Drosophila melanogaster: one gene and its partners. The protein of the gene in region 1 interacts with the protein of each later gene in a pairwise test. Each region holds a gene or a part of one and is shown in the gene's direction. Other genes may lie near its edges.

Region 1 (5,977 bases):
TGGAGCAGAATGGTGTTATTGAATACCTAAATGAGCGCCTACAGCTTAATATCGACATGAGCAAGAGGACCAAGTAAGTTAAGGTCTATATTTAAACCCTGAAAGTAAGTTAATCACAAATTGTTTGTTATTTTTAGATGCTTGCAGCAATGGCGAGATTTGGCGCGTCGAACGGAGACCGTTCGCCGTGAAGTTTGCATCGCCGTCGTGGGAAAGTACACCAAGTTCACGGATTCGTACGCCTCCGTAGTTAAAGCCCTGCAACATGCCGCCCTGGCAGTGAATCGCAAACTGGAACTGGTCTTTATCGAGTCGTGCCTGCTGGAGGAGGAAACTTTGCATTCTGAGCCGAGCAAGTACCACAAGGAGTGGCAGAAGCTATGCGATAGCCATGGCATCCTAGTCCCCGGTGGATTCGGTTCCCGTGGAATGGAGGGCAAGATTCGTGCATGCCAATGGGCGCGAGAGAATCAAAAGCCATTGCTTGGCATCTGCTTGGGTCTGCAAGCGGCGGTCATTGAATTCGCACGAAATAAACTTGGTCTCAAGGATGCAAACACCACAGAAATCGATCCGAACACAGCTAATGCCTTGGTCATCGATATGCCAGAGCATCACACGGGTCAATTGGGCGGCACTATGCGCTTGGGCAAGCGAATAACTGTTTTCTCTGATGGTCCTAGTGTCATTCGCCAGTTGTATGGCAATCCGAAAAGCGTGCAGGAGCGTCATCGGCATCGTTACGAGGTTAATCCCAAATACGTGCATCTGCTGGAAGAGCAAGGCATGCGATTTGTGGGCACCGACGTCGACAAAACTAGGATGGAAATCATTGAGCTCAGCGGTCATCCCTACTTTGTTGCCACCCAATATCATCCAGAGTACTTGTCGCGGCCTCTGAAGCCGTCGCCTCCTTTCCTCGGCCTGATCCTGGCCTCAGTGGATCGATTGAACCAATATATTCAGCGCGGTTGCCGCCTGTCGCCCCGCCAGCTATCCGACGCATCCTCGGATGAGGAGGACAGTGTTGTGGGCTTGGCCGGAGCAACAAAATCGCTGAGCTCCTTGAAAATTCCCATTACACCCACAAATGGAATATCAAAAAGTTGCAATGGTAGCATAAGCACTTCCGACAGCGAAGGTGCCTGCGGAGGCGTTGATCCTACCAATGGCCATAAGTAAACTAGTGAACGGTATCTTATATCCTAAAGTGTTTAACATCCGATTATCAGACGTACTTTTGTTATCGCAAAACCCCAAAAGTTTGGGATAACTTAAGTATTACTGGGTGGGTATAATACGGTATTTGCGAATTGAAAATTTTGACCTTTTATGAAAGAGGCATTAATAATAAGAAACCCTTTATAATTTCTCCTAAGCTTAAGTAAACTACGATGTTACTTTCCGTACATTTTTAATTTATATGAAAATCTTAATTCATATATATTTTTTGGATGCGAAAAAAAAAATAACTAATGGAACAATTTCAAATGTTTGTGTTTTATTTTGAACTTAGCGGGCAGCAAGAACGGTATTGGAAATAGTGCGTGGAAAGTAAATGTGTGCTATTTCTCTCTTTTCAAATTGGGCGCGAAATTTCGAAATTGGAATTGAAACATGCTAAATAAGCTTATTTGTTTCCGAATTTATGGAAAAATCGCTTTTCAAGATATCCATACCAATTGTTATGATTTTGTTCACACATAAACTATTGGAATACTTTGAAAACAATTGTTGCTTCTATTTTTAACGACAGTTCCATCAATACTTTTTGGCAACTGATACCTTATTAAAAAACTGACTGTTTTTTCTAAATTCTTACAAATATATTAAGGGATTATGTATAATCCCTTTTCTGCCAAGAACTATATTTTTAAAGAGCACCACAGAGTGGACTTCAGTGTAATTTTCTGCTTGTTGACGCAATTAGTTGAGATAGGCAGAGAATTAATCAAACGCTGGTACTCGAGAATAATAATGGACGCTAGCCCATGCGAATTGAGATTCGTATGCGGGATGCGGATTCAGATACCGGCTGGCGTTGTCAGACATCGTCAGGCCCGTGCCCAACAAAAATAGCCAGGGCATACATTTGGGCTTGCGGCCGCGATGAGAAGCGATGGCTAGCGGCCAATTGAATCGAGGCGGACCGCAAGACTCCCAACCAAGAACAATGCGCATTCTTCATTGTTCGTTCAATTGAGCAACGTGCTCTGGCTAATTTTGCACTCGAAATAAGAGAAACGCAGCTAACATGATTCAGTCGGGGGTCCACAAAAAGAAGCCAAGGATTCGGAATCGCCAGCGCAACAAGATCAACCAGGTGCCACAGGATCAAGGGGAATCTCCAGACGCAATTGCGTCTTCACTCAAAAGTAATGGCTCAAAAGCGGCAAATGGTGTAGAAAGTAAACCTCCGGTGGAAAAGCCCTTACTTACAAGTGGAAATTCTCTGCTTGAATCATTATCAAAAATTGGTCAAGTGGAAAATCCGCAAGAGAACGATACAATCCGGCTGATACAGCAACTGTTACGTAGGAAATTATTGGCCAAAAATAGTGCTGTGCCATCCAGCGAAAATAAGCCATCAACTGATCCGGTCAAAATAGTTACCCAACCAAAGGAAATCAAAAGTGAAGAAAAGAAACCAAAGATTTCGAGTACCTCGGTTACTCCAAAACTCAAAACAGAAGCCAAGGCATCTGGAATTTCAAAAGAAGAGGAAATAAATGATCTACTCAAATGCTTGGGCAGCAAACTGCCAAAGGGTAATTAGATAATCATTAGGAAGTATATACAATTCAACATAACTAAAATATGCTTGATAGGATCTGGTGAATCCCCAGCAGCCGCGTTATTCAGCAATCTTGGAAAGCTTTTCAGCCAAGCGCCGCCCAGCGATGTCGAGTCATCCGATGAGGAAGTGGAGGAGTATGTGGAGTACATCTATAAGCCAAGGCAATATTTTATGGCCTCACTGTGCAATGTAGGTAGTATTCATTACAAACTGTGCTTAATTGCTGAAGGGACTATAGTTTAAAACTTCTACATTTGTATACCCTACACTCCTAAAGGAAAAGGGCATAATAGATTCGTTGAAAAGTATGTAACAGGTAAAATGGTTTCTTGCCAGTTTCTATCGATATGCTCATTAATGGTGGCATTCCCGCTAGATGAGTAATGGGTATCTGATAGTCGAGGAAGTTGGCTATAGCGTACTCTCCTATTTCTATATACAAATGTAAAGGGCGCATTAATAAGATTTTTTTACAATTTTATTTTACTAAGCCTTTTATAATACTTGCAGTTCTGCAAGTCGGATCTGTGCGGCCAGAATCGGATACCCTGCTCCCGCTGTGGACTGAGCTACTACTGCAGCAGTGGGCACATGAAAGACGACCAGGAGCACCGCCAGCTGTGCTACGCCCTGCGCCAGACGGTGGACCGCAATGGTGAGTGTCTTTCGGCGATTCACAAATTCATAAATCACACTAATTGCCAATTTTGGATGGGGCGGATGCAGGTCACGAGATGTTCTACAAGTGCGGCGACTTCAGTGACGAACAGTTCCGTTCCTTCCGGATCGTGTGCATTCGCCAGGTGGAGAAGGAGATGAATCGTCAGCTCAGCGCAACGGAGAGAGAGTTGCTCCTATTTCCACTGATCTGCGCCGACTCAAAGTGCCGGGAGCATCGCTTTAAACGTCTATCCATGTGCGGTGGATGTGGCGAGGTGGCTTTCTGCAAGGATAAGCCGGAGCACCGAGGCAAGGAGCACGCCAAGTGGTGTGGAGCCTATCAGATTTTCAAGGCCTTCATCATGTTTCAGGAACAGTTCGGCCGCATGGAGCCATCACTGCCCAGTAAGATTCTTAGAGAGCTGCCCATGGCTTGCTCCAACACCAAGCAGATGATGAAGAAGCTAAGCTTTAGTAAGTAAACACGAAGTATTCAAGGATTTTATTATAATGTATTATTATACTGATTTAAAGATGTTACCAATGAGTGTGAGTACGCAGCACTTACCCAGGTGTCCACTGGCCCATTAACTGCCTGGTTTGCCTTGAAACTTTGCGAGCGCCTCAGAAACTGCGAGGAGATGACTCTTCACTTAATTGGAGCCGAGATCGAATTTGAGGCGGATATGCTGCAGAAATGGGAACTCTTCCTGCTCCACATAACGCCAGCGGTGAAAACTCTGAATGTGGTCTTTGTTGGACCTGAACTTAATCCTAATAATATATCCTTTGAACAGCTAAAGAAAATCAAGTGAGTTACACTTTTAGTTAGTAGTTTAAACATTAGTCTAAAGATTATCAATCTATTTAGATGCTGCCGTTTCTGCAGAAAAGCCCAGAGAACGGTTAACTATCATTTTGAGAATAGTTTATATCACGATTACTGCAGAGAATCGCACTTTCTTCAGCCGAATTTGAGTAAGTTAACACTCATTTAAGCGAAACTAATAATAATTATTATACATAAATTCATAGTTTGCTTCTTTAACTGCGGTCTGTACCGATCAACTGGTTTCGCTCTGGAGGATACTTGGCCAGATACCATTCAAGCTGCACTCAATCTCAACTGCCCCATCGTAGTTACTTCCTATACAAAATACGAGGCCCCTTTGGATATGATTCAATTTATTAACCAATCGAATCGACACTTAAATGTCGTAATGCCGCCAACTGTAAATCCGTTTTCCTCGGAAAAGCCAGAACGTAATTTTATATCAGATAATGAAGCGTCTTTTATGTTTAAGAACTTTTACTGTTTTGTTGTTGATTAATCGCAGTCCACACCTTAGTTTTTTTTTAATAAAAAGACAAATATCGAACAATTCTGATTTGGACAAGGTCAATTATTTAGTAAAGCCTGGTACAATTCTAAAAGTTTAAAAAATTTGTATTATAATTTGGTTTTTTAGACATAGCCATAGACACATGAACAATAATAAAATTATTATATTGAAATATTCGGTAACTTCTTTTCGGTTGCAGTACATACCTGGTAAAATCTATGAATTTTCATAAAAAATATAAAATTTTGTTCAGCTTTTATATTTTATTTTGAATGTAACGTTTTTTCTGGGCAATCGATGTTATTTTTCATACTGATTTCGATACATTTGCGTTCGATAATAAAATACTAAAACAAATTTTCGATTGATTTCCTTGCTGAGGTGTGATGGTCACTTTCGATAACCGATATATTTAAGGAAATATCGGTTGAAGTCCGGTTTTGTTTTGATTTGATTGAATAGCATTGTTTTCATTGCGCATTTTCTGAAATTTAGGGCATTTAGGAGAAAACTTGTGATTTTTTTGCTGTTATTAGTGTTTTCCCATGAATATCAACGATGGTGACTTTAAAGACCTCCGCTGCAAACTGGACATCATGGGTTTCACACAGACGCTGCCCGTTTTGGCCATTCCACTGGTTCAGGTAATATTCATACCCTGTAATATTAATTTTTTGGCATAATCCTGTACCTTTTACATTGCAGGCTGTTTTCGGGGACCTAATCAAGACCACAGAATGTTTGAGGGATACCAAGAAAAAGGTGGCCGAGCTGCTGGAGGTGGGTATACCAGTAGAGAGTACAAGACCTTTGGGTTTTCTCGATTATATATGTGTAACTATAATATTATCACAATTTCTTACTGAAGAGATTCAGGTTGGTGCTGTTAAGATAAAAAAGAATTTGTCAATCTAAATATGATTATAATTGTGAGGATCCCATGAGAAACTTCTTTTCAGTATTCTTATTCTATATACGCCAAATATGCTTCATTTTTAAGGGCAGACTATACAATTCAATTGAATCCCTAAAATTAAGCGTGAAATACTTGCAAGGATATTTACACGTTAGCTTTTTAAGCCCACGTTCTTTCTTATATGTTGTGGTTTTTCAATTGGTTGCTAAGCAATCCTTCTGTTGTGGCTTTCCTTTCGGCAGGAAAAGACCTGTTGGGAGC
Region 2 (5,482 bases), on another chromosome or scaffold:
TACAATACTTAGACAAGTTAATTTAATTTTTTATTTAAAATTCAATCTGCGAACTAAAACAAAAAGTGCACAGCAAGTGGGGAAAGAATTCAGGTCAGAGGTCAGAGTAGGTAGAAAAGGCAACAAAAAGTTTCATGTGAAAAAACAAGTTGAACAAATTCTGTGAGGAAAATAATAGAAAAAAGTGCGTCACATCTTTTGAGCTTAGCGAGAAGCGCACTCCCAGAGCTTCCTCCTCTTTTTCCATTCTCAACTCAATATTTCCTTTACATTTACAACATCGTCATCATCGGTTTTCCCGTCGGGAGTTGTTGGCCATGTAAGAAGTTCAGTGTAAAGGCAAATAGCGAAGCCCAGAGAAAACTGGGCGGCAGGATCCACTAAGAATCGGAGGGGAAAGAGGACCAGAAATATCCTGGTCCTGCGGTCCTTGGCCTGCTTAATTATTCAATAATTTCTAAAAGCATTTGGCCACATGCGACGTCATCAGCCGTCATCCTTTCATCCTTTTACGGCATGTGACAGGACCGCCCCTCTTCTTCCGTGCGCCCCCGTAATCAGTTGAACACATATACCCCCAACACACACTAAAACATCTGCATTTATGTAAGCCTCCCTCCCTGGACCCCTCCTCTTTGTCCATCTTAGTACACAGAGCGATTTGGGTGCCCTTTAAATACTTTCTTATTATTTAAAGATATTTCGAAACCACCCAATTTAGTAGTCAGTGTTGATTGATAATTTATCAGGAACGCCTCGTCTTCCATGATTCTCCTAGCAGAATTAAGTTTAGTTAGTATGTAAAGATGGACCTTACTTGGGAATTATTTCTCCAAGTGATCCCCATTTTTCACCCCCACATAGGTGACATTGTAAGGACTTTTCGGTTCATTTGCTTTTCCTGGCTGGATTTCCATTTGTGATTGTGGGTGTGGTTTGCAGAGTTGCATTTATCATTAGTCGTAGCTTAGCTTTTGTTTTCCTGCATTCGAGTGGACGAGGAGGGGGGGCATATCTAGGGAACGAACCCTGGCGGCCATTGGGGATTTTGCACTTGGGCATGTTTGATGTGGAAACTTTAGATTAAAATATTTTCCTATGCACACACACGAGGTGAAACAATAGCGACGAGGGTCACCAAAGTGCCGTAGATTATTGAATGAGCGCTCCCAGTCTCCCTCCAGTGTAAGCTTCATCTTTATGTACGAGTAGTAGCGTGCTTCTTTCTACATAAAACGTTCACCCCTTAACCCTTTTCAAGCTCCCAACGTCTGCAAGAATGATGATAAAGATAAAGCTCAGAAAGGGAGAAAGAGCAAGAGCAGCGCTTCTCCGTGGGCGGATTGAGCGCATAATGATGTTTATGTGTTGCCAGAAACATAAAAGCATTAATTTAGTCATTATCTTCTTAAGATACGGCGCCAGCAGAGGCAGTGGAGTATCAGAATCCCCTGAACGCGAGAAGAGAGCGTCAGGCTTTTTGCCACCCATAATTTCCATCAGCATTTTTATGCTACCCCTGCTACTCACTCTGAGTGAAAGCGAGAGAGCTTCTGTTGCCATATCCTGCGCACCCGCTTCCCTTCTCTATCGCTCCCTCGACAGCTATCTCTTTCTGTGGGGGCCGCGGGGTCTGTCAGTGATGACTTTATCTGTATAAATAACTGTCAGTGGCCAAAGAAAGTAAGTAGAGAGCGCAAAAATACAAAAAAATACATGGAAGCATTGGTGTGAATTGGGTGGAAAAGGAGGGGTCTGGTGAATGGGGCATTATCTCTGTAGCGCCATCTTTATCCTGGACCTCCTGCCAGCCTTTAACCTGGAACACTGCAAGATGGGGGCCCGACACCATCAACCACCACCAGCTAGAGCGAGAGAAAGAGATACAGAGGGAAAGCAAAAAAGGGAGGGAGGATACAGAGAGAGGGAGAGGCGTCCAAAGCCAGAGAGTATTGCCAAGCAATATGGTAGCGTTGAGGGCGTGGCTTCACCCCGATTTCATTGGCCAACGTCGAAAAATGTCCGCTAAACGAGAGAGCAGATGTGAGTTTGTATCTGGCATCTGAGAGTCTGTATCTATATCTGTCGAGGAACTGGCCTAACGACTACTCAATCGACAACTTGTCGGGCGGAACGCTCTCACAACACTTTCGCAGCTCGAGCGGACAAGAAGGGTTCCCGGTGGCAGAAAACCTGTGGAAATAATAAAATATAAAATCACGACGCGATTGCAGTGCGTGTTTCTAGTGCGGTTTAGTGAACTTGGCATCGATCAAAACACACTAATCCAGTGAAAAAAACCTAGACTTAATATTCGCAACATTGCCACCATTACTGAATTAAAAAAAATTGTAAAGCGCTTAGTGCTTCAAAAGTGCCGCTTCATTAAAAAAAAATCAGTGGGGAAGAGACTTTTTCCTACTCGAAAGCTTCATAGACTTCTTCAAGATTCTCTCCTCACTGTGGACCCCTGGAGGAGGCGGTGGAGGCACCACCACCACCACTCCCAGCACCACGCCCGACATTCCGCCCTCGAAGGCCAAGTTCAAGATCACCGTCGTGAGCACGCCCAGCCCCTCCCCGCCGCCTACGCCCCCTCCGGCTGGATCTATGCTGGCACAAATGGTAGAGACAAATTCCCCGCCGGCGGGTTACACCCTCAAAAGGTCGCCCAGCGATCTCGGCGAGCAGCAGCAGCCTCCAAGGCAGATCTCGCGATCTCCTGGCAACACGGCCGCCTATCACCTGACCACCGCCATGCTCCTGAACTCGCAGCAATGCGGCTACTTGGGCCAGCGATTGCAGTCGGTCCTCCAGCAGCAGCACGCCCAACACCAGCAGTCCCAAAGTCAAACTCCGTCCTCCGATGATGGCAGCCAGTCAGGTGTCACCATTCTGGAAGAGGAGAGAAGAGGAGGAGCCGCCGCCGCGTCTCTCTTCACTATCGACAGCATTTTGGGCTCTCGCCAACAGGGTGGAGGCACCGCTCCAAGCCAAGGCAGCCACATCAGCAGCAATGGCAACCAAAATGGACTCACCTCGAATGGCATCAGTTTGGGTCTGAAAAGAAGTGGCGCCGAGTCCCCAGCCTCGCCAAATTCAAACTCCAGTTCTAGCGCAGCCGCCAGTCCCATCCGACCGCAGAGGGTTCCTGCCATGCTGCAGCATCCTGGCCTGCATCTGGGTCACTTGGCGGCTGCAGCGGCGAGCGGTTTTGCCGCCTCTCCCTCGGATTTTTTGGGTAAGTCTATCAATCCCCCTATACTGAACGCACAAGCCCCCTCAGCTGAATTTCATTATGAAGACAACTTAAGACGAAACCAGTTCAAAGGATGGTTCTTTAGATAAAGAAATTTTAACATTTTGAAATACCTTATTTCATGCATCTAAACTCTGAAATCACCTTAAGGCAGCTCACTCATGCAGTCAGGAATCACCCATTCAGCCACTCACCCACTTTTATCCTGACATCCTCATCCTCTCCCACTCAACCGAACCACACCCATTCCGAAGCGAGTCCTGAATGGCATTATTCATAATTAGGCAATGATCCGTGAAAGATGATTCCGCATTTCCTCTCCATTTTCCTTCGATTTTGCGGTGAGAGGATTTGCATTGGGCTCTAAGTCTTAGCTTGGGCCGGAAAAACCAGGGAAATCCGGGATGCTGGGGTGGCTTTAAGATGGGCTCAGGCCTTGTGTTGATTCGAGCGTGGATCTCAGGCGCAGATTTATGCAGAATACCGCTTAAATTCATTCAAAGGCTCCCCCGCAGGACATGAATATTAAAAACCTGGTCGCAACTTTTTTCCCCAGCTTGCTGCAACCGGAAACGGAAGCCACACATACGTTTACAGATGGGGTCAAAGGAATAGATCCGTTTTTGCAATATGTTATCCATATATCATTGTAATATTCTTCGTAACGATATTTACATGTTTTCCAAGTACAACATATGCTGAAGAGGGTAAATAGTTTTACATTTTACTTGAACTGATACCATTTTTGTGTCTACTGTAAGCCAAAATGGCGGCAGTTTTATTTTGCGCGGTTCGTTATGCGCATTTTTAAGGATTTACCCAGGAATATTCCACTTACACCCATTCCCGTGGCCCTCTTTTCTCCAGTTATATGATGATGATATGACTGTTATTCCAACCAGGGAATAATGAATTTTCCTTTTGTTTTCCCTACAGTGGCGTACCCCAACTTCTATCCAAACTACATGCACGCTGCTGCGGTGGCGCATGTGGCCGCTGCTCAGATGCAGGCACATGTGAGTGGAGCAGCCGCTGGATTGTCGGGTCACGGGCACCATCCGCACCACCCCCATGGGCACCCCCACCATCCACATCTGGGCGCACACCACCACGGACAGCACCACCTCAGCCATCTGGGTCATGGACCTCCGCCGAAGAGGAAGCGTCGCCATCGCACCATCTTCACGGAGGAGCAGTTGGAGCAACTGGAGGCCACCTTCGACAAAACACACTACCCAGATGTGGTGCTCCGGGAGCAACTTGCCCTCAAGGTGGATCTCAAAGAAGAACGAGTTGAGGTGAGTTTAAAGCTTCTAATTTTTAATGCCGAAGAAGGTGTAAAAAAGGGGGCAAGACTAAGTTTAAAGCATAACTTTATAGACATTTAAAGTAATTTTTTTAAGGCCGCTTTGTCACCACAAAAAAACAATCAATGCCTGGCTTTAGCTTTTGATCACTGTGTTCTTCCTAGCAGCCGCCCACACTCTGTGTTTAACATTTGGCTCTAATTTCACGCTCGTTTTAATTCCCCGCGTGAAACCAATTGAGTGCTACACCCCCGCTCCTCTACACTCCACTTAACCAGAATCAGATTCCGAATCCGAATCTCTGGCATCTGCATCGCAATCTCTATTCTCTCCAGCGAGATTCTCCCTCTGAGAACTTCTACTTGTTTATTTAGTTGTCAGCGGCGTACATTTTGAGGGGCTTCTTCGCCGGCGAAAGCAAAACAATGCCAATCCCAATGATTCACTTAATTTGGGTAATGGGACTCGGGATACAACCGCATGTTTAAACGGATGGTGAGGGTTATTTGCTCGTCGGTGGTTGCCACTGCTGAATCGTATCATTGGTAATGTAAATATGCAGGGATTCCGCCTTCTGCGCCCTTGTAAATCCCACCCCGGGGGATGAACCATCCCTTTAACATCGGCAATTGTGATTCAAAGTCCATTAGTGTCGAGGAAACCCAACAACAAACAAACAAATTGAGAGGTCACCAAGGAAGAAAGTGACGACAAAAGTTGACAATTTAATTTGTTCACATTTTTGGTGCATTGATGGGTGGCTATTTCGCGTCTTTGATGAGGATTATCCACGCTTTCCGGGCTACGGGCCCCGGGTTCCGGGCCCCCTTAGTTTTCGTTTCCCTGGCAATATGTTTGTCAACCGGTCAAATGTTTAATCTAACCCATCCAACCCCATCTCACCCTCACCTTTCGC
Region 3 (4,381 bases), on another chromosome or scaffold:
AGGAGTAGGCGACAAAAAGAACATCAAATACCAACAGGCAGCAGCCAACGTCATTGATGACCTCATCGCTGCTGCCGCCCACCCAAACAGAACTTTTCGTAGCCTCGCCAGCCGATCGACGTCAGAGAGAGCCCAACAACCGGAGAGCTGGAGATGGGGAGCAGCCACATCAACAGCAGCAACAGCAGCCACATCTCTTCATACTCTTCATACTCACTGGCAATCGGCGTGCCGGTAAGCCTCGACTAGCTTCTGAAATCCACAAATCCACGCTGTTTGTATTGCTATTCGCAATGCCTCGAAAACGGCTCTATTTTCATATAATTTCACGCCGACTTGCGGCTACTTTGGCACAGAACGCCAGCTTTTGGAAAGCAATAATTTTTATTGCAACATTGAACCTTTATTTGCAACTAGAAACTAGATTTCGAGAATCATCGGGCGGGGCGGCTGAGGATCTGGCATTTCGTCCGTAAGATCGGTTATTCGCAATGGAGGAATATGATATTCGAACCAAATGGCGGGTGAAGTGCCTCGGCATGGAGCTCCATTTTCTTCGAATCTTATGTTTTGACATTGCGAGTCTGAAATGGATGTTGCCTGATCTCCAGCCGCCCCGCACAACCGTTGATTCTCACAACCGCCGGCTCCACTTTGTGCCGGTCAGCGGAGAAAAAGCGATTATTTGGCTATCAAAAGATATGATCACTGTGTTGAGAGACATGGCAATCATCGCTATTGTAACCATATATTTGCTGATTTTTCGTCTGATCCTGGTCCTTTGTGAAGCTAGCAAAAAACCCCCCGCCCGGTGAATGCCCACTTAGATCCTTTTGCAGGAGGATTTCGACGGCCCTGAAGGTGGGCGCCACCCGTTTCCGGTAGCGGCTTCGGCTGCTTCCGGTTTCCGGTGTCGCAACCCTTCGCGATGTCCCCCGTGCGAGTGGAGCTACAGTGGGCGTGAGCCGGGCAAAACCTAAATTTCTTCGGAGATTTAAAAAACCAACAAATTTTTTGACTTTTGTCAAAACAATTCGAACCCACATAGCACTACGATGGCTAACGATTCGCCATCCGTGCGGTTGGCACGCCAAAACTGTCTCTTCGAGATCACGGGCCTAGGGCTGTTTAACATTCGACCCAAGCGATTTCGCGACAGGCTTCGGCACGCCAGTATATAACCCAAAACACACAAACGTCAGGGGCTGGAACGCGTCACTGCCGTGCTCCTCCAGCCGGCACAGTCATTCCCCGCCCCCACACCAAGCAAAACCGGCCGCTTGTGCAGATGACATAGGCGCGACCAGCCAACTGACCCGGCTGACCAGACTTGCACCGTGCGCCATCAACTGGAATCTTGGCCACAAGCACAGCAATAGTTTGGCCCGCTATTCCCACACAGAAACCCAGAGTGGGGGCCTATGGAAGACCACAAGTGGTTGCGTGGAACTGCTAAAAATATAAAACTGTAAAACTAAAGACTGAAACTAGAAAACAACCATTAAACTCAGAAACGGAAAACTGCGTAATTGTTTTTATTTTATGGGGTGGATGGGACAACATTTTTACAGGGAATCATTTTTTTAAACAAAAGTTGATATAATATAAGAAAAAATGCAATTAGCCAAGCTCTACAAAGCTCACGTATTTAATAAATGCTCCACCGAATGAAATGAATATTACAATATGCCATATAAAAATACAACATTAAATGATATTAAAACTGGTTTCTTTATTTCAATATAATTAAATGTCTCAGCCCTTCTAGACGTTATGTATAATAATTTCAAGTGGCTACAATCAGACTTAAAATCTAACTGGATTTACTTTCTACTAATAATATCCCAATCAGAAGTCAGATGTTGTGTGATTACATCTTGTTACATTTTTGATGATATTTAAATAAATTATGCTACATCATTAGTCATTGTGTCAAAGTAATTTTAATTTTATACAGTTGCAGTTTCGAGGTCGGACGGAACGGTCTGAAATTAACTAACAATATCTCGTGTATTTTGTGTGTGCTTTCGAAAAAAGTTTGTTTGAAAAATGTGTTAAGAAAGTGGCGCCGCCGAAATACCGATATCGCCAAGTATCCAATTATCGACGTGCCGTGGGTCCCGATTGTCTAACATAAATAAAGCCTGCTGATATCGAAGTACAACAGCCCGATAGGTGGAAGCAAATATCGATGACAGTCTTTATTTATATATTTCCTAATCAATATACCTGATATCAACAACTGATGCACAAAACACACCGTCTCACCACCGACAGCCAGTACATGGAGGTCGAAGGCTTGCTGCAGGTAAGTGGATGCACTGCGTCCGCAGATAAATGAATAGGTTTAATCCAGTGGCTGCTGCAACGCCCTTTCTTTTCGCCCCGTCGCACCACACACGACACCACTTTGCTCTTCGCTCTCCACTCGCCGCTCGCCACACTCCACCCACTCGAAAAACCTGGCCAAAAACCACGCACACACATGCACAGGCCATGGACATGCCCACCAGCCACGACCCGGAGGCGGAACTGGAACCGGAGTCCACGTCGCTGTGCCGCCTGAGCCGCTACAACGTGACCAACCTGTACGACGGGCCGGCGGGCGGGGGTTCCTCATTGAGCTCGGGCCGCCAGCGTTGCTACACAATGCCGCATGTGCCACCGCCAGCGCCGCCCTCCACGCCCACTCTGCTGACCAGCGGGTGCGGCGGCAGCAGCAACTCCGTATCCGTCTCCATCTCGCCCACCTGCTCCGCTGGAAGCCATCCCTTGGATAGCCAAAGTTTGAGCCAGAGCCCCTTGAACCACTTCATCTACGTAAAGAATGGCAAGAACCTGCGTCGCGAATCGCGCTGCGTCGACTCGGAGCTGTCAAAGTTATTCAACGTGGTGTCCATCACAAACCGGCTGACGGCTATTAAGAACCGCAGCAATTCCATTTCGAATTCCAGTGGAATACTCAATGCCTCGCGCACCATATCGAAGTTAAACGGGGCGACGGCCACCAAGATCTTTAAGATTCATCGGGATCCGAAGGAATTTCTGCGCGAAACGGACGAGGATTCCGTGTCTGCGCCGGAGTACGACGAGGAGGAGGAGGACACGCGCTTCCGTTTCTTTCGGCGTGCGCGCTTCTCGAGGAGGTACAGTACCGCACGATCCGGCCGGAAATTTGCGCGAAAGTTCGCCCGATTTGAGCATCATGAGCGCATGGAAACCATCGTGGATAGTTTCGATGCAGCAATGAGCTTCAATGATGCAGACACCTGAGAGGCGGAGGCCACGACGAGGACGACGACGACAGCAACAGTTGAGAATGAGGCATGGCAGATGGTCGGCCAACCAATGTGATGAATGTGAATTTCAACTAAATTATTTTAATTACTACAAACTACTATTATTACGATTATTATTACCGATTACCGAACTGTTCTCTCCATACGTTTAGTTTCCTTCTACGCCGATTGCCGTGGCCTTCGAGATCCCAGCACCACTCCTGCATTTGATCGGGTTTGGTGGCGGATCGCGGACGCAGCGCATGGCACGCATTTAGTTTAAAGCCTAGTTTTACGCCTACGCCTCTGGGGCGGAGCAGGTGCAGCCGACCACCGAATGGTTGATAGCTCCACGAACAGAACGATTCCAATAAATGCACAAAACGTGTTGTATTCGAGAAGAGAGATTACTCGACGTTGGTTTCATTTATGGTGTGATGTGATTAGTGATTTTTTTTACTCCAACCTTAACGATTATTTACATAACGAATACACATTGTATGTTTTCTTTATTAACGTTGTATATGGACATGTATAAGGTTATTTCGGTTATTAGTCACTGTCAGGCTCGTTTTCTCGTTCAAATGGATGGGTATGATAGGTTTTAAACTGGAGAGAACCTTGCAGTTCAAAATCTACATAAGCTATACCATGAAAATAAGAAGAGGGGCCTTTGTACAACAACTTTAACCAACTCTAGACACTTAGGGAGCAATGCAGTCTCTCAGACTTAACAGTGAAATAAGCTGGAGTCGCAAGTCTATTGGGGTCTTTAATAACGGGATCTTAACACTATGTAGTTCCGAGAACTCCTTTTTGTTTGCTTTTGAAGCAAATCAATAACAATTAACTAACATCTAGAAGTTCTTAAAATACATTTCGAGTAAATTTCCGGATCTAATCACGTTTTGAGAAGAAATACGCCATTAGGTTATCCTCTAGCTGCTGCGGATCGGTAACTGGCATTCGACAAGCTCGCTCGTGACAAATGTAAACCGTAGTTTTACCGCCCACCATCTTAAACTTTGTCTGCAAGCGCTGATTGGAGGCTTCCTCTGGATTCGAGGGATCCACATGCACTATGATCATGCTTGGAATAAAGA
Region 4 (4,093 bases), on another chromosome or scaffold:
TCGAGATCGGTCTGACGATATAGACGACTATATCTTCTTGCAACTGCACACGCAACTCCACGCACAACAACACACACAACGCAGCGGCTAGCCGAATGCAATATTTTGGCAATATATCTTCCAAGTTTGAGACGAAAATCGGGATATATGGAAAATCGGACGCGGCGAGGACGAGACAAAAAGTTCGACTGCCACACAGATTTTTTGGCAAGCGGAAATTTTCCTAGCCGCAGAAAAAGCGCTCAGAATGTCGGTAGCCCGACAGCAAAGAGAGCATAAACGCAGAGGAGAGAGAGTTTGGGCCCAAGAGGCAAGAGGCGGACGCAACAGGCCACCCCTAAAGAGACAACATTGGTGAGCGAGCAAGAAGGGTATATTCAAGGGTATGCTCGACCAGGGACTGCCAGCTGCTCAGTCGACCAAGTGGCCTTACCGCTATTCCCAATATAATTCCGAGTGAAATATAACCTTAATCTTACAATACTGCATATAAAAATTAATAAAGATATTATCAAATGGAAAAGATAGAGGCTCAAATTATCATTCGATATTTAAGTATAAGTAAAGTGTTTAGCAGGATCAAGATATGCTATTGTGCCAACATACCCTAACTCCCTTCGCGTAAGGGGATGCGAAAAGTTTATCCAAAAAGGAAGCTCCGAAGTTAACTGGCGCAAAGCTCCGTTGCTAGGCTGGCCGGCAATCGGATAGAACAGAAGGTTCAACGATCCATTACGATTATTAATTTTTGCATATAAATTTGCATTGTACAGAAGTATGTGTATATATGATTATATGGACACGTGATGTCAGTATGTGTGTGCGTGGTAAACAAAAAACCGATCATCAGCTGTTAGACGGCGCTTATCAGCTGGCAATACAGAAAAAAAGCAACGCGGAAAAGAGCCCACTGTCCAACTGTCCCACTTCCACCTAGAATTCCACTGTGCTGACCTTGACAACCTAATCTCCTCCACAGAAAACAGCTTCGTCTCGCTCGCACTGCCATTATGCAAGTGCGTGAGCATCTACTTTCCTTTTATCTTCCGCTCTCTCTTTCGCTCATCGTGAGTGACACGCGCAGAAACCGTGCAAGTAAAGCTCGCCGGCCTGCAGCTTTTGTCGCCGGAAAACGCACGAGAAAAGTTCTGAAAGTGAAAGTGCTTTTCCAGGCTTCAGTCAATATGTAATGAGTACTATGTGCCGTACTATTTAACCTTGAACTTGTGGATAAAGGACGTTAGCGCCGTTAACATTTTGAAGCTCGGGTCTGCAACAACAAATGCTTATCACTGAGACGCCGAAACAGCAACAAAATTTCAAATATAATTCAGACAATCCGGCACAGAGCAAATTTATGCAAAATTACTCATCATCGCTGAAAGCGTCGTCGTCACAGAGCAATTAAACAATTGCGATAGTGGAAGTTTACAGCGGTTCAAGATTATTATTGCTGCATTATTTCCGATGGCATGTTTAATAGGGTGTGATTGCGATGGTGTAGGTTATTTTACTTGTGGCGCGCTCCGCATGGAATGACTTCTATTTCACCTTTACACATTTCGCTAACGAGGTTCTTTTGAGATTGTATGGGTGTGCGAATTGAATTCGCAGCCGTGCTTGTGTGTATGTGTTTTGTGAGGCGGCAAACGCAATTCTACATAATGTGGAGAAATTGCTTGCATCATCAACAACAGCAAAAACAAATGTCTTGCCCCCGCCAATTTCGTTAGCAAAATTTCTAGCGTATTATAATGGAATGATGTTTAGCTTGAGGTCGTATCAAGAAGATCTGATAATTACCTGTTTTTGACAGTAAAGGTGAACTCGCGGAAAGATGTATTTGCTCTTCCTGTTTTGGAATTATTTTAATTCAATTTAAATGCACAGGCAGCGAACACTCCAATCAGAAACAGTGCGTCCGGCGATCTGTTCGAAAAAACAGTTGGCACCAATGAGCCTAAAAAAGCCACTCGTTTTTAAAATAAATACCATTTGGTATATACATACCAGATTCACGATATAACATTTGGGGTCTTCGGAAAGCTTTAAATTTTATTTAAAGCAATTTGTAATAAAGCCTAAAACATATGCTCCTTATTTATCCTCATTTATTCAGTTGCGTAAAGTATTATTTTTAATAGAACAAACTTATATTTTTAAAATTGGTTTGTGATTTTTGTTATTTTTTAGCTTCTTCTTAGCAGCGGTAGCCATTCGCCCGGAACCGTTTGTTTTTGTTTTGCTTTTCACGGTAAGCGTGTTGTTTTTCTCGATTTAATTGAATTTTAAATAACAAATTTTCGAGAATAGAAAAATGGCCACTGAGGTGTCGCAACTTTTGCTGGCGGTGGTCCAGGGCATCCCAGCCGGTGCCACCAACGATGACCTGACCAAGGCGCTGCCCGATGTGCCGGCGGCCACGCGGGTGGAAGCTTTGAATATACTGCTGCAGGAGGGCGGGATCGAGATCCTGAAGAAGGGTGAAAAGCTGGTGTACCGTGCCAAGGACCCGGAAAAGAAGAGTGCCCTGCCCAAGGATGCGGACAATGAGGAGAAGGTCGTCTACGGCATTGTTGAGGAGGGCGGCAACAAAGGCATCTGGATTAGGGATATACGTATGAAGTCCAACCTGAACATGATACAGCTCAACAAGATCCTCAAGAACCTAGAAACCAAGAAGCTCATCAAGGCGGTCAAGTCGGTGAACGTAGGTTCTATGATCCCATATTCCAAGTTCAATGTGATTCCAAATTTTCTTCGCGCAGGCCAGCAAAAAGAAAGTGTACATGCTGTACAACCTAGAGCCGGATCTCTCCATTACGGGAGGAGCCTGGTACCAGGATCAGGACTTTGAGGTGGAGTTTGTGGATGTGCTCAACCAGCAGTGCCTGCGCTTTCTGCAAATGAAACGCGACAGTGCGGAAAAGAAGCGCGAGGGGCCACTGGCCTTCAAGCAGATGTCTTGCTGCACGGTGAACGAGGTTCAGAAGTTCATCTCGGACTTGGGCATCAGCAAGGTTAATCTGGCGGAGGCCGATCTGGAAACAATTCTCAAAACAGTGGTGTACGACGGCAATGCGGAGCGAGTGCGCCAGCAGGATGGATCCTTCGTCTACCGGGCGGTGAACGCCCCACTTCCTCCGACTGGTCTGGTCCAGATGCCATGTGGCATTTGTCCCGTCATCAAAAACTGCTCCAATTGTGGCGATGTAACTGCTATAACTTGTGAATATATGCGAGATTGGTTGGATTAGGGATTAGCTCGAAAACTCTGGATTTTATTTTATATTAAGTATTACAAATTGAACTTATTGTTTATTAAGCTTTTTGTAGCACAAACATTATTAACTCTTAAATGTTATGGTTACCATAAAAAAAAGGAAAATTTGAAACCGATTTTTTAAATCGCAAACACATATCGTATTTCATCATTCATCGCTACGATATTCGCAGAATATGTCAGCTGGTTGCCAATCGCCCGGAACGCATGAACAGATACGTGGCTGTTGAATATGTGAATGAAAACTCGAAAATTCCGACAAAAGCTGCGAAACGAAATAAAATTTAATTTTATTGAGGCGTTATTATGCGATAGCTGTCCCAAGGCCGCCAAGTGCAATTCCTCCGCCGCCTTAGGAACCCCGAATTTAAGGAAATGGGTTTGTGCAAGTGCCCCAAGCGCCTGGTGACCAACCAGTTTTGCTTTGAGCATCGAGTCAATGTTTGCGAACACTGTATGGTTCAGTCTCATCCAAAGGTAAGGATTCCTGTCCTCTAGTTTTATGGATGCTTGGAATACACCATATCCACTCTTTTTCAGTGCATTGTGCAGTCGTATCTGCAGTGGCTGCGGGACAGCGACTACATCTCCAACTGCACTCTGTGCGGCACCACATTGGAGCAGGGCGATTGCGTGCGCCTCGTCTGCTACCGTAGGGATCTGCCAGTTTTGAGCTAATCCAGACACCACACACTTACCCATAATCCTGCCATTTCCAGATGTTTTCCACTGGGACTGCCTGAACGCCCGCCAAGCCGCACTGCCTGCCAACACAGCCCCTCGGGGTCACCAGTGCCCCGCCTGCAGTGT

Evidence for each region.
Region 2: the proteins of CG13458 (region 1) and Gsc interact in a two-hybrid assay, tested with the Drosophila melanogaster proteins (one large-scale study listed by BioGRID).
Region 3: the proteins of CG13458 (region 1) and CG8617 interact in a two-hybrid assay, tested with the Drosophila melanogaster proteins (one large-scale study listed by BioGRID).
Region 4: the proteins of CG13458 (region 1) and Polr3F interact in a two-hybrid assay, tested with the Drosophila melanogaster proteins (one large-scale study listed by BioGRID).

Annotation. Positions count from the first base shown.
Region 1 is NT_037436.4:15,111,516-15,117,492, forward strand, and holds CG13458 (uncharacterized protein), read left to right. Parts: upstream 1-2,041; 5' UTR 2,042-2,254; coding exon 2,255-2,768; intron 2,769-2,828; coding exon 2,829-2,986; intron 2,987-3,307; coding exon 3,308-3,452; intron 3,453-3,523; coding exon 3,524-3,931; intron 3,932-3,991; coding exon 3,992-4,268; intron 4,269-4,328; coding exon 4,329-4,435; intron 4,436-4,492; coding exon 4,493-4,788; 3' UTR 4,789-4,858; downstream 4,859-5,977. Other genes in the region: Ctps (CTP synthase), read left to right, coding at 1-73, 138-1,182; Cep135 (centrosomal protein 135kDa), read left to right, coding at 5,346-5,444, 5,506-5,580, 5,959-5,977.
Region 2 is NT_033779.5:591,347-596,828, reverse strand, and holds the start of Gsc (goosecoid), read left to right. Parts: upstream 1-2,143; 5' UTR 2,144-2,448; coding exon of another isoform or gene 2,449-2,622; coding exon 2,623-3,241; intron 3,242-4,195; coding exon 4,196-4,557; intron 4,558-5,482.
Region 3 is NT_033778.4:14,355,063-14,359,443, reverse strand, and holds CG8617 (uncharacterized protein), read left to right. Parts: upstream 1-2,162; 5' UTR 2,163-2,245; coding exon 2,246-2,308; intron 2,309-2,493; coding exon 2,494-3,273; 3' UTR 3,274-3,675; downstream 3,676-4,381. Other genes in the region: Arc1 (Activity-regulated cytoskeleton associated protein 1), read left to right, coding at 1-8; CG8613 (uncharacterized protein), read right to left, coding at 4,176-4,381.
Region 4 is NT_033777.3:22,365,379-22,369,471, reverse strand, and holds Polr3F (RNA polymerase III subunit F), read left to right. Parts: upstream 1-2,098; 5' UTR 2,099-2,118; intron 2,119-2,193; 5' UTR 2,194-2,254; intron 2,255-2,312; exon of another isoform or gene 2,313-2,313; 5' UTR 2,314-2,317; coding exon 2,318-2,710; intron 2,711-2,768; coding exon 2,769-3,257; 3' UTR 3,258-3,392; downstream 3,393-4,093. Other genes in the region: CG5382 (uncharacterized protein), read left to right, coding at 3,659-3,760, 3,824-3,935, 4,003-4,093. UniProt on the Drosophila melanogaster protein: DNA-dependent RNA polymerase catalyzes the transcription of DNA into RNA using the four ribonucleoside triphosphates as substrates. Specific peripheric component of RNA polymerase III which synthesizes small RNAs, such as 5S rRNA and tRNAs.